Linked DNA regions of Arabidopsis thaliana. The protein of the gene in region 2 interacts with the protein of the main gene of each other region in a pairwise test. Each region holds a gene or a part of one and is shown on either strand. Other genes may lie near its edges.

The links.
Region 1: the proteins of WAV2 (region 2) and AT3G50860 interact in a protein complementation assay, tested with the Arabidopsis thaliana proteins (one large-scale study listed by BioGRID).

Annotation. Positions count from the first base shown.
Region 1 is NC_003074.8:18,899,997-18,904,709, reverse strand, and holds AT3G50860 (Clathrin adaptor complex small chain family protein), read right to left. Parts: upstream 2,566-4,713; 5' UTR 2,365-2,565; coding exon 2,296-2,364; intron 2,194-2,295; coding exon 2,151-2,193; intron 2,028-2,150; coding exon 1,966-2,027; intron 1,869-1,965; coding exon 1,772-1,868; intron 1,229-1,771; coding exon 1,158-1,228; intron 1,000-1,157; coding exon 908-999; coding exon of another isoform or gene 904-907; exon of another isoform or gene 818-903; coding exon 751-817; 3' UTR 513-750; downstream 1-512. Other genes in the region: AT3G50850 (Putative methyltransferase family protein), read left to right, coding at 2,566-3,321; AT3G50845 (MIP18 family protein (DUF59)), read left to right, coding at 3,501-3,614, 3,712-3,815, 3,982-4,081, 4,190-4,235, 4,503-4,603. UniProt on the Arabidopsis thaliana protein: Part of the AP-3 complex, an adaptor-related complex which seems to be clathrin-associated. The complex is associated with the Golgi region as well as more peripheral structures.
Region 2 is NC_003076.8:6,942,430-6,948,368, reverse strand, and holds WAV2 (alpha/beta-Hydrolases superfamily protein), read left to right. Parts: upstream 1-1,854; 5' UTR 1,855-2,053; coding exon 2,054-2,291; intron 2,292-2,580; coding exon 2,581-2,616; intron 2,617-2,746; coding exon 2,747-2,825; intron 2,826-2,936; coding exon 2,937-2,991; intron 2,992-3,083; coding exon 3,084-3,200; intron 3,201-3,897; coding exon 3,898-4,062; intron 4,063-4,483; coding exon 4,484-4,712; intron 4,713-4,825; coding exon 4,826-4,833; 3' UTR 4,834-5,414; downstream 5,415-5,939. Other genes in the region: BRXL4 (BREVIS RADIX-like 4), read right to left, coding at 1-236, 328-426; AL5 (alfin-like 5), read left to right, coding at 5,523-5,622, 5,823-5,855. UniProt on the Arabidopsis thaliana protein: Involved in the regulation of root growth. Involved in the suppression of the root bending in response to touch stimuli, gravity and light. Negatively regulates stimulus-induced root bending through inhibition of root tip rotation.

The sequences.
Region 1 (4,713 bases), on a different chromosome or scaffold from region 2:
TACTTTAAACTTCAAATATTTCGATATCCACTCTCAAAATGGCCAAACAATTAACCTAGATGTTTCCTATTCGCATTATCCTCACAATTCATCGTATAATCTCTACTATGTAAACAACTAGTCTATTGGTGTTTTTTAAAAGAGCAATTAAACGTGTACATTTACCATTGGTTAGGCAATAGCCACTAGAAACTTTGAAATCACATAAAACCAATTTTATTTTTGCGTATATAAAACCCACATAGGTATCTATCAATCTATTGGGTACTAAAAAAGGTCAAAAAGCTGGTACTGGAAAATGCAGAGATGGATCATAAGAATTTCAAAAGGTAAAATGATAATTGGATATGAATTGGCACTTCAAACATTTTCGAATCTTCAGTCTTCTCCCATCGAATTCCGTTTTGACTCTTTTCACAACGCAACGCACGCCGTTCGGCGTTTTCGTACTTCCTATATTTTACCTTGTAGCTCCCTATACTTTCTATTCTAGTTTTATTACTCCACAACAAAATCTGAATTTGGACATCATTTATCATTTATAGATCTTAACTTCTCGTCGTTTTTGTTACATTCTCAAAAATAGCAAGCAGTTCCGTCCGTTACCCAATTACAATTCACAGGCCCACGTTAGACTACTGAGCCCATCCACGCAACATTCCACGCTCATTAAACAAACATGTTTGGATCAAGACTTGGATAAGCTTTTGTTACATGTTCTCTGACTTATTCAGGCAAGTTTTTTCGAAGCTAACGGCCACGCCACCCGGAAACAGACTTGGGGACAAGTGAAATCGAATTTGAGGCAGCTTCTAATCTGCACAATGCCGAAAGTGCAACTGTTTATTTCCACACCACAAATGCAGAAAACAGTAGACTGATTGAGAGAGAAGGATTAGGGAACTACTTTGATATTTCTTCAACAGCCTTCATGACTTCAGCAGAACTAGTTTCCAGTACTTGTCCTCCAAATACAATCTCATCTAACACCGCGTGCATCTGCAATGAAGGAAAGAAAGAAGAAGGCATAAAGCTATATTATTGACACGCTTTTGTTTCATGTAGCTATCTAAAAGATCCAACCAATCTGCAGCAGCAAATTCTGAAAATAATATCAACTACACTGCAGGACAAACTGTTCTGTGTAATAAGATTACCTTGCTGTAGTTGAACACAATGTCGAGTTCGCAGACATTGCTGAAGCATTTGTCCAGTGTTTCAACAAGAACTGCCAATGCAAGAAACTAACTTTAAATCATCATACAATGAGAATACATTTTCAAAGCGTTAAGCAAAAAGAATTTACGAGCAGAGGAATAGACAATGATTCATATGTAACATCAGTCGATGGCATGCTAAGTCAGTCTCTGTATTCACAAAAACGAAGAACTAATTTGATCTAAGAGAATCTCTACTCTCGACTGAACCCAATACCAATCCAAAAATACTCAACACCCAGTTCTCTTTTAAACACATCCTATGCAGACCAGCTGAGCTCGCACACCACTCATATGCATTTGTACTAGATTCACGGCAACAAGCTTTAATAAAAGAGCCAAGACACTGCACAAACTCTACTATTCAAGACTCTGATTCCAAATTCCCTCTTTCTATATATAGTCAAGCTAAACGGTTAAAGATGTTCAAAACAAGCTACATCTATGAAACTTTTCTCATTCCAAAGCACAAAAATTGAAAATGGAAAAAGGTTTTACACCATGCCATTTCAGATTATATTGCAATCTAAGAACCATAGTGATTAAAAACGGACCTTGAATGAGATCAAGCATAGCAAGCTCATTTTCTGAACCATCAAATACAAGAACAAAATAGAGTGTAGCATAATGCTTGTATACAAGCCGCGAGTCCTGCAAACACACTAAATAATAAGTGTCCAAAGCAACGTTTTTTTTTGTTAAACTAAGTATTGTGGTTATATAGCATAAACAATGAAGACGCCATTACCGGTCCAAACAATGATTCGATCTCCAGAAAATTGCTTACGTTCTCAGGTCTACTGCACAATACTGTAAATTATAAACAAAACAAAAAAACAAAATTTCAGCTCAAGTTTCACGATCGACCCAGATCTTAGCGATACAGATTATGAAATTGTTAGGTATCGTAAGATGCAGAAAGTGATTGAGAACCTGAAAACACGCCGCGAATAAGCTCCTGCTGCTTCTCCACAGGCTGAAATCCAAAAAAAACAAAATCAAAAACCCAATTTTACAAAATCGGTCACTTTGATCGAAGAAACCGAAATTGAAAAACATATCTCAACAAGCATCGTACCAAGTAATCGTAGAATTTAGCTAGACGTGGTTTGCCTTGTGTGTTCATCATCATCACTGCCTTAATCATCTTCCACCTCTCCTCTCTTTCTTTCTTCGTCTCTCTCGCTGACAAACTCTGAATCTCACATTTTCAAACCCTCTCTCTATCTTAGAGGCTTCTTCAATTACATTTGATGACGTCATCACCAATAACAACCCTCCACGTGTAACCAAATTTGAGTGCCCTAATAAATAGTAGCGGGGCCGTCGTGAGGATTGGTCACAATCAATGGCTCTCCGAGAAGACGACGACGATGTTAACATCGGAGAAAAAGTAGTCGACGTAGAATCGGAGCTTCAGAAGTACCGGATCAATTCGATCGAATCAACGGTTGTGATTCGTCAGTTACCGACACAAGGCATTGCCTTCAAGCTCTGGATACCTGCAACAACTCTCGTCACGCTTTTAGATAACTACCGTCGTGACCCAAACATTAGTCCTCTCAATCGCACCTTCTCGAGTTTTCAATCCGACGGTTCAGATTCTTCTTCTCCGATTAACATCGTCGAGCTCGGATCTGGAACGGGAATCGTCGGTATCGCAGCGGCTGCGACACTAGGTGCTAATGTCACGGTGACGGATCTCCCAAACGTAATCGAGAATCTCAAATTCAACGCCGACGCAAACGCTCAAGTCGTGGCTAAGTTCGGTGGGAAAGTCCACGTGGCGTCTCTTCGTTGGGGCGAAATCGATGACGTGGAAAGTTTGGGTCAAAACGTTGACTTGATTCTAGCGTCTGACGTGGTTTATCACGTTCATCTTTATGAACCTCTCCTCAAAACGCTGCGTTTTCTGCTCTTAGAAGGATCATCCGAGAGAGTGTTTCTTATGGCTCACCTCAAGAGATGGAAGAAAGAATCGATTTTTTTCAAGAAAGCTCGGAGATTCTTCGATGTTGATGTTATACATTGTGATGATCCTCAAGAAGGTGCTAGAATCGGAGTTGTAGTTTACCGTTTTGCACCGAAAAATCAAAACCTTTAAGAAGATTTTGTCAAATGTTGATAAATGAAATTTGCTTCTTTGTTAAATAAGAAACACTTTATGAGAAACATTTAATTATGTACACTTTATAAATGTTGGAGCTTCGAACCCGTGACCTTGTAAGCAGAGCACTTCTGATTAAAATACAGAGAACGAAGACTGAGGAAAGAGAGAAGAAAATGACTCTGGGACTGATAAACGCGAATCCAGTGGTGCAAGCTAAGAAGGAAGGGCTTGTTCGTAGAGAAGATCAATATAGAGATGATGGTGTTGATCCTCTTGAAATATATGATATCCTTTTTCTATTTTGAGATCAATTTTGTTTTGGATTTTGTTCTTTTTGGGGGGTTTAATGTATATTTTTGGAATCTTTGACGAAAATGGACAAAGTATGTAAGAGATATAAGAGATCCAGAACACCCTTATACTTTGGAGCAGCTAAGGGTTGTCTCTGAAGAATCTGTTACTGTCGATGACAAGCTCGATCGCATCCTGTGAGTTTATATTAAACATCATTCTTTGTTGAATCGATTTTTAGAGACTATCAGAAGAAAGTTCCAATTTTTATCTCTGTATTGGTAACTAATGTTGAGGCCTCTTTTTGTGGTTACTTGCATGATCTTTAACAATAAGCTGGTTTGGGTTATGTGATGAACTCAGGATAACGTTTACACCGACGATTCAGCATTGTAGTATGGCAAATATAATTGGTCTGTGTCTGAGAGCTAAGCTTAAAGAATGTTTGCAACTTCATTACAAGGTCATCTTGCTTTTAAAAAACTCTTTTCTGATTAAGACAAATACTCAAGATCACTTGTTAGTTGTTACATATGTGTGATTGCTTCTGTTTTGTTTTACTTATGTTTAGGTTGATATCAGAGTGTCTCCGGGTTCTCACGCTGATGAAGTTTCAGGTGAGGAAGTCTTATGTTTACTAGACCATCTCTTCGCAATGGTTTAAGTTCATATATGCTTTCTATAAACCTTAACTAATATAGAGATTGCAAATTGAATGGATGATTTGTGTAAATTATAAACATTGCTCTTGTCCTTGGTTTGATAGATTTTAGTTTCTAATTAACATCACTGCAAAATCTGGTTTTCTATATTTGTATTTTTGGGAAAGTTGATGTCTTAAGCTCTGAACTTTAATACTCATTGGGATCATTTTTGTATTGCAGTTAACAAACAACTGAATGATAAAGAAAGAGTGGTGGCTGCATTGGAGAATCCTAATCTCCGTCAGCTCGTGGATGAGTGTATCTACTCCGATGAGATATGATCACATCATTTACTTCTACTCTCTTGTACAGGCTTCATATCATGGGTTTATATAATGCCTTAGAGAGCGCTCTTTAATCTCAGAATACAAATTAAGGGTGTGTTCAAATG
Region 2 (5,939 bases):
CCCCAAACCCTAGGCTGTTGTTGTTGCGTCGCCGCCACCGCCGCCGTAGCTGTAATCGAACTGTTTGATCTTCCGTAAAGCATTTTAAACCGTTGATCCGATTCGAAATCCGACTTTACCGACGACGACGACGGATTGTTCTTGATCGGACCTTGTCCTTGTCCCTGACCTTGTGCCGCCGTACACGGCGTACAATGCCGGTAAGCTCCTGATGCTTTCAGAGCCATATCTTTGAGCTGATATTGAATTGACGAAAATACCCTCAATCAGAAGAGAGAATTACGAAAATTGGAGACGGAGGAGAAGAGTGAGTTTATTTCAATTTACCTGAGATGTTAGAGATTTGGCGTTTTTAGAATCTGGATCGTCTGGTTGACCGGAGGATTCATCGCCTGCTCGCTTCGAACGAGCTATACACGTCAGCATTTTCCGGTGACTGGCTTGGTCTTTGATTTGAGATTTTTTTTCTTTCTCTTTTTGGATACGGAGAGAGAGAGACAGAGATGGTGTCAGTTTCTTCTACTTTGGTTTGGGTTCGGTGCTCTTTTTATGTTTTATTCTCTCTTTTTTTTTATAATTTCTGCTTAAGAAACTTTAAACCGGGATTACCGGTTTCCAATAAAGGTTCCGCGTCTCACTACGGTAATTACGCAATCCGGTGGTTAAAATTTCGAAAGTGAAAAAAGTAAAAAGTTTTGGTCTTGCATAAGGTAAGGTAAATCATTTTTGTTTGTTTACTGATTAGCTAAACTTGTACAGAGGTTAGACTATATACATGATTTTTGGCCTGTGGATTTAGACTTTCAGAGGTATCAAAGGTCGTTCTTCACACTCAAGTAGCCAAGTGTGCTGCAAGATTTGAAGTTAATCGATATGTATGCAAAATTTGACTCTGACTTTTGAGAAACCTAAAACGAAATAATTTATTATGTGTGGTTCTAAGCTAGATCACAATAATAAAAAGTTGTTCTTAGCATTATTCATTAAATGGGTACTGTAGTGTGTTGTTCATAACGCTTCTGATGGCAACTCATTGACATTTAATTTAAGGATAGCAATATGTTCCGTCCGACAATATTTATGTATGTGACGTCTTCGTCTACATTACATTTCAAGTGAATAATGATCCAACGACTCGAAAATATTAATAGTGTAAGTATTTTTGTTGTTGTTGTTGTTGTTGTAAATTTGGTAATGTACTAAACTGAAAATTAAAATGTTTTGGCAAAGGGTGGTGGTCCAAGACTTGTTTAGTTTACAAACAACTCTTCAGTATTTTTCTTTTTTTTCGACCAGCCACTATGGTCTTGTTATCGTTGAGTGTCAATATAACCTTTCTGAAACATTACACTAGGGTCACTAAGATAAATTGGTCTCTTCTCCACTTTTATTATTTCATATACAAATTTGTATGTACCAAGATCTTATCCACAAAATTTCGTTTTTCCCAAAACTATTATAATATTATTAAAGAGGTCAAAATGGTTTGTGCTTGTTTACAATATATTTAAGTTTTTTTTTGCTAAGTTTCTTACAACATTTCAAAATGCATGACAATGATTTTACTTAACTCATTTAAGCAAATAACTTCGCGATACAAACAAAAATCAAGTTACTATTATATAAAAATCAAGATAGAAACTGTAGAATAATCTATATAATTGTTGAGTACAAACTTTACAACTTAGCCGAACTATTGATTAGAGTTCATCGGGAAATGTCATATTTGAGTATTGTTGGTGGACTCGCAAATGAACAATTTAGACCACCAAATAGAGCTACATTTTCTTATGGTGAAGACTCAAAATCGGTTTGGGTTTAGCGCATAGATGGGCTTTAGTTTCGGCCCAGTGAAACTCTGTCTCAATCCTTCTCACCTGTAAACTTAAAAAAAGAAACGAAGAAGCTCTTTTTCTCCCCTCTGAAGAAGAAAAGCAAAATCCACGAGAGAAACAGATAGAAAGTTGCAAAAGTGCGTTCGATTTTTGCTTCTTCTTCTGTTTCGGATTCGGATTTGGATTTGGAATCTGCTCCTTTAGCAGAACCAGAGGAAATGGTGACGTACGTGAGCGCGTTGTTCTACGGATTCGGAGGGATAGTCGTCGCCGGAGTGGCGCTGCTCGTGGCTTTCCAGGAGAAGCTTGTGTACGTCCCAGTGCTTCCGGGTTTAAGCAAGTCTTATCCGATCACTCCCGCTAGGCTCAATCTCATCTACGAAGATATTTGGCTTCAATCATCCGATGGTGTACGTCTCCACGCTTGGTTCATCAAGATGTTCCCTGAATGTCGAGGTCCACACTCTCTTTGATCATTGAGTCTCCTTTCGATTCAGTTTTTTTTTCCTGGTAGATTTGATTTTACATTTTCGAATAAGCTTTTGAATCTACTGAATTTTGAGGGATTTTAGGTCTTGATGTCTCTGTCTTTAGCTAGGTTTTGGATTCCTTTTCTCAGATTTGTGATCCCTAAGTCATTTTAGCTTTAGTTTGGAACTTATCTGTCACCTAAAATCTAGTTGCTTGTGGTTGGTAGCTTTAGCCTAATTCGAAGTCTTTCTAATAGTTTATGTTTGGCATGCAGGTCCAACCATTTTATTTTTCCAGGAGAACGCTGGAAGTATCCTTTCCAGAGCCATTTCTTGGTTTTTGTTTGTTTATATTTGTATGCTCTAAGGAACCTATTTTATGTTCCATGTCTGTTAGCTGGGATACTTTGTCTTGTTACGACCTTGACCTTAGAATCCCAGACATCGCTCATCGTCTGGAGATGGTTCGCATCATGATACAAAAATTGAAGTGCAATGTATTCATGCTTTCATATCGCGGGTTAGTTTCAGTTTGCTGGTTTCTGGTCTATCTCTTATATAAATTGTTTGTTTTTGAGTCTAAACCTTGGATCTGTTTATACAATGCTTATTGATTTTCCCGTGCAACCAGCTATGGGGCAAGTGAAGGCTATCCTTCACAACAAGGTATCATAAAAGATGCTCAGGTTTGCTTGTCTCCCTAAATTTATCCACATATCTCTTCTGTTGCGTCTCCATGTATTCATTATCCATTTTCTTGCCTGATATTTTTTGTTAGGCTGCATTGGATCACCTTTCTGGAAGGACTGACATTGATACATCTAGAATAGTTGTATTTGGAAGGTCCCTTGGGGGAGCTGTTGGAGCTGTGCTTACCAAAAACAATCCAGATAAGGTACTATTAGTACATATTGCTATTGGTAGCATTTCATGAGTAGGGAAAATGTATATTTTATTAGAAGAGAGACAGTATAGGCCAAGTACCAGCCGCCAGCTCTGTGGATGTTACTGTTTAAAGGGAGAAGTATTATTGAGAGTCCCACATGGTTACGAATGAGACTAACAAATGCCTTATAAATTATAACGCCTAAGGGCACCTTCCTCTCTCCTCTAGGGGCTTGGTTTGGATGGCTTCTTATCAGTATATTAATGAGATTCTGGTTACTGTTGCAAATTATTATAACTCATGGTCTTTGGCAGATGACCTGGAGTCCAATTGTATAAAAATTTCTAGAGTACCTCTTTATTTAGATTCTAGTCACTTATCATCAGTAACAATCTACGCGGTTTGTACTATCTGAATATAATTATTTTTTGTGTTAAAGTTTTAGTCATCTGGCAATAAAAGAACCTGGTTGATAGGGGTATTCGTTTGAGCTTTGTTATAGGCCTCCTTTTATCACCCCCACTGATATTTACTATTATATGCACAAGAACCTTATCCTTCTCAGAAAATTTCTTGGTAAATGAAATTTGTAGATGCCTTGATTAAGCTATTATTTTTGTTCTTGTTGTCTCTACTTCCAGTATTTCATTTGATATCCACACGCCTTATAGTTGTATGTTTACCATTTCTCAATGTCGCTATATAGGTATCTGCATTGATTCTGGAAAATACTTTCACATCCATTCTTGATATGGCTGGCGTTTTGCTGCCGTTCTTGAAGTGGTTTATTGGAGGAAGTGGTACGAAAAGCCTGAAGCTTCTTAATTTTGTTGTACGTTCTCCCTGGAAAACAATTGATGCTATTGCTGAGGTAAGATGCAAATGTAGACTCTTGCAGATAGATGTTAGATGGATTCTTTTCGTTTACTGTTTGCATATGCCATAAAATGACTCATTTAAGCAAAAAACACTATGGTACCCCAATGACCTCACTGGCATATATATTAATATATCTCATGCATTTGCATTCCTTCATTTCCTTTTAACGGGACATAGTGTATATATCTTTGCGGAATATGTTGAATTCATGATAAGCTAACCCGAACTATAAAATTATTCATGTATGCCGCAAGCTGATTGATTGCTCCCTGATTTGTTCTATGGAGTAAAACTTGAAAGGAAACAAGAAAGGAGCTTGATGTGCTGCTAAAAACATATCCCTGTTAAAAAAATGTCTCATCGTTTGATTTTCTGTAGCAACCTGTGATAAACTGATCTTGCAACAATGACAGATCAAACAACCAGTGCTTTTCCTCTCTGGACTGCAAGATGAGATGGTCCCTCCATTTCACATGAAAATGCTGTATGCGAAAGCGGCTGCCCGTAACCCTCAGTGCACATTTGTGGAGTTTCCAAGTGGGATGCATATGGATACATGGCTGTCTGGTGGTGAAGTTTACTGGAAAACAAACTTGCAATTTCTCGAAAAGTATGCGCCTGAGAAAAGGAAAGAAGATACAGGTAAGATGATCTACCAAGTATAAGTAACAATTTTGTTTTACAGAGATGTTTCTTGGGATGTTTTTCCCAAAGTAGAATACTAGGCTTGACGTTGGTCTCTAATCTGATGACAGGAAGGTAACGATCAACGATGCTGTGTTTAGAGGAAGATTCGACTCACTTATTTCCTATTGCAACCTGAAACGACGGTATTGTTTGTTATAAGCATGTGTATACGTATGTTGCATTTGGGAGTGACAGATACAACTTGTTCAGAGAGTGAGATATTGGACAGGAACTTTTGTAAGCAGAACCAGCTAGTGGAGATGGCAAGTGTAAGCTAATCAGATGCATTTGCTTCGTCTCAGTTTTCCTTCTTTTTTTTGGGTTATTTTTTTTCCAATTGTTGTTGGTGTTTCTCATCTGATCGTAACTATTTCCTCTGGATGATCATGGCTTTGTAGATGATTGAGAAAAGTGAAAAAAGACATGGTTATATGATTATATCTTGAATGTGTTGATTACGTCTGTCATTCATAATATTTATGAAATCTGTAGAGTAGTTTTTTTCCCGACAAACTTGATTATGTTTGAAAATGAGATAACACCAAACTAAACGCACGAAGACATTATTAATGTCCATTATTTATGTATTTTTATTTTTAAATAAGTGTTGTGACTAGACCGGGTCGGTCACTGTCCACGGGGCAACTTTTTAGTCTGCATTAAGTTTTCTTACTTTATCACTTAAGAACAAAAATTCTGCTTTAGAAAAAAAAAAGAAGCAAACCTCACTGTTCTTTCATCGTTTCCGAGAGAGGAGAGACGGACATGGAAGGAGGAACTGCGCACTACAGCCCTCGAACTGTCGAAGAAGTCTTTCGAGATTTTAAGGGCCGTCGAGCTGGCATCATCCAAGCTCTCACCACTGGTCTCTTCTTTCTTCTCTTTGCTTTTTAAAGTTTGAAACTTTTCTTATGGGTTTTGAGTTTTTCGTGGGAATTCTTCTCATGACGATCGTTTGGTGGCTTTATTTAGACCCTTTTTCAACAATTGTGCTCTAGTGTTATGGATTGTGTTGATGATGCTTAGTTCTTCGAATTAAGAACAATTAATTTCTTTTTTTTGCAGATGTGGAAGATTTTTTCCAGCAATGCGACCCTGGTTAGCTTTTTTCTCTCTCTAGCCTTAAGTATGCTCTCAAGCTGTTTCAGTTATTCCTGATTTTGAATATGCAAAGTTGAGATG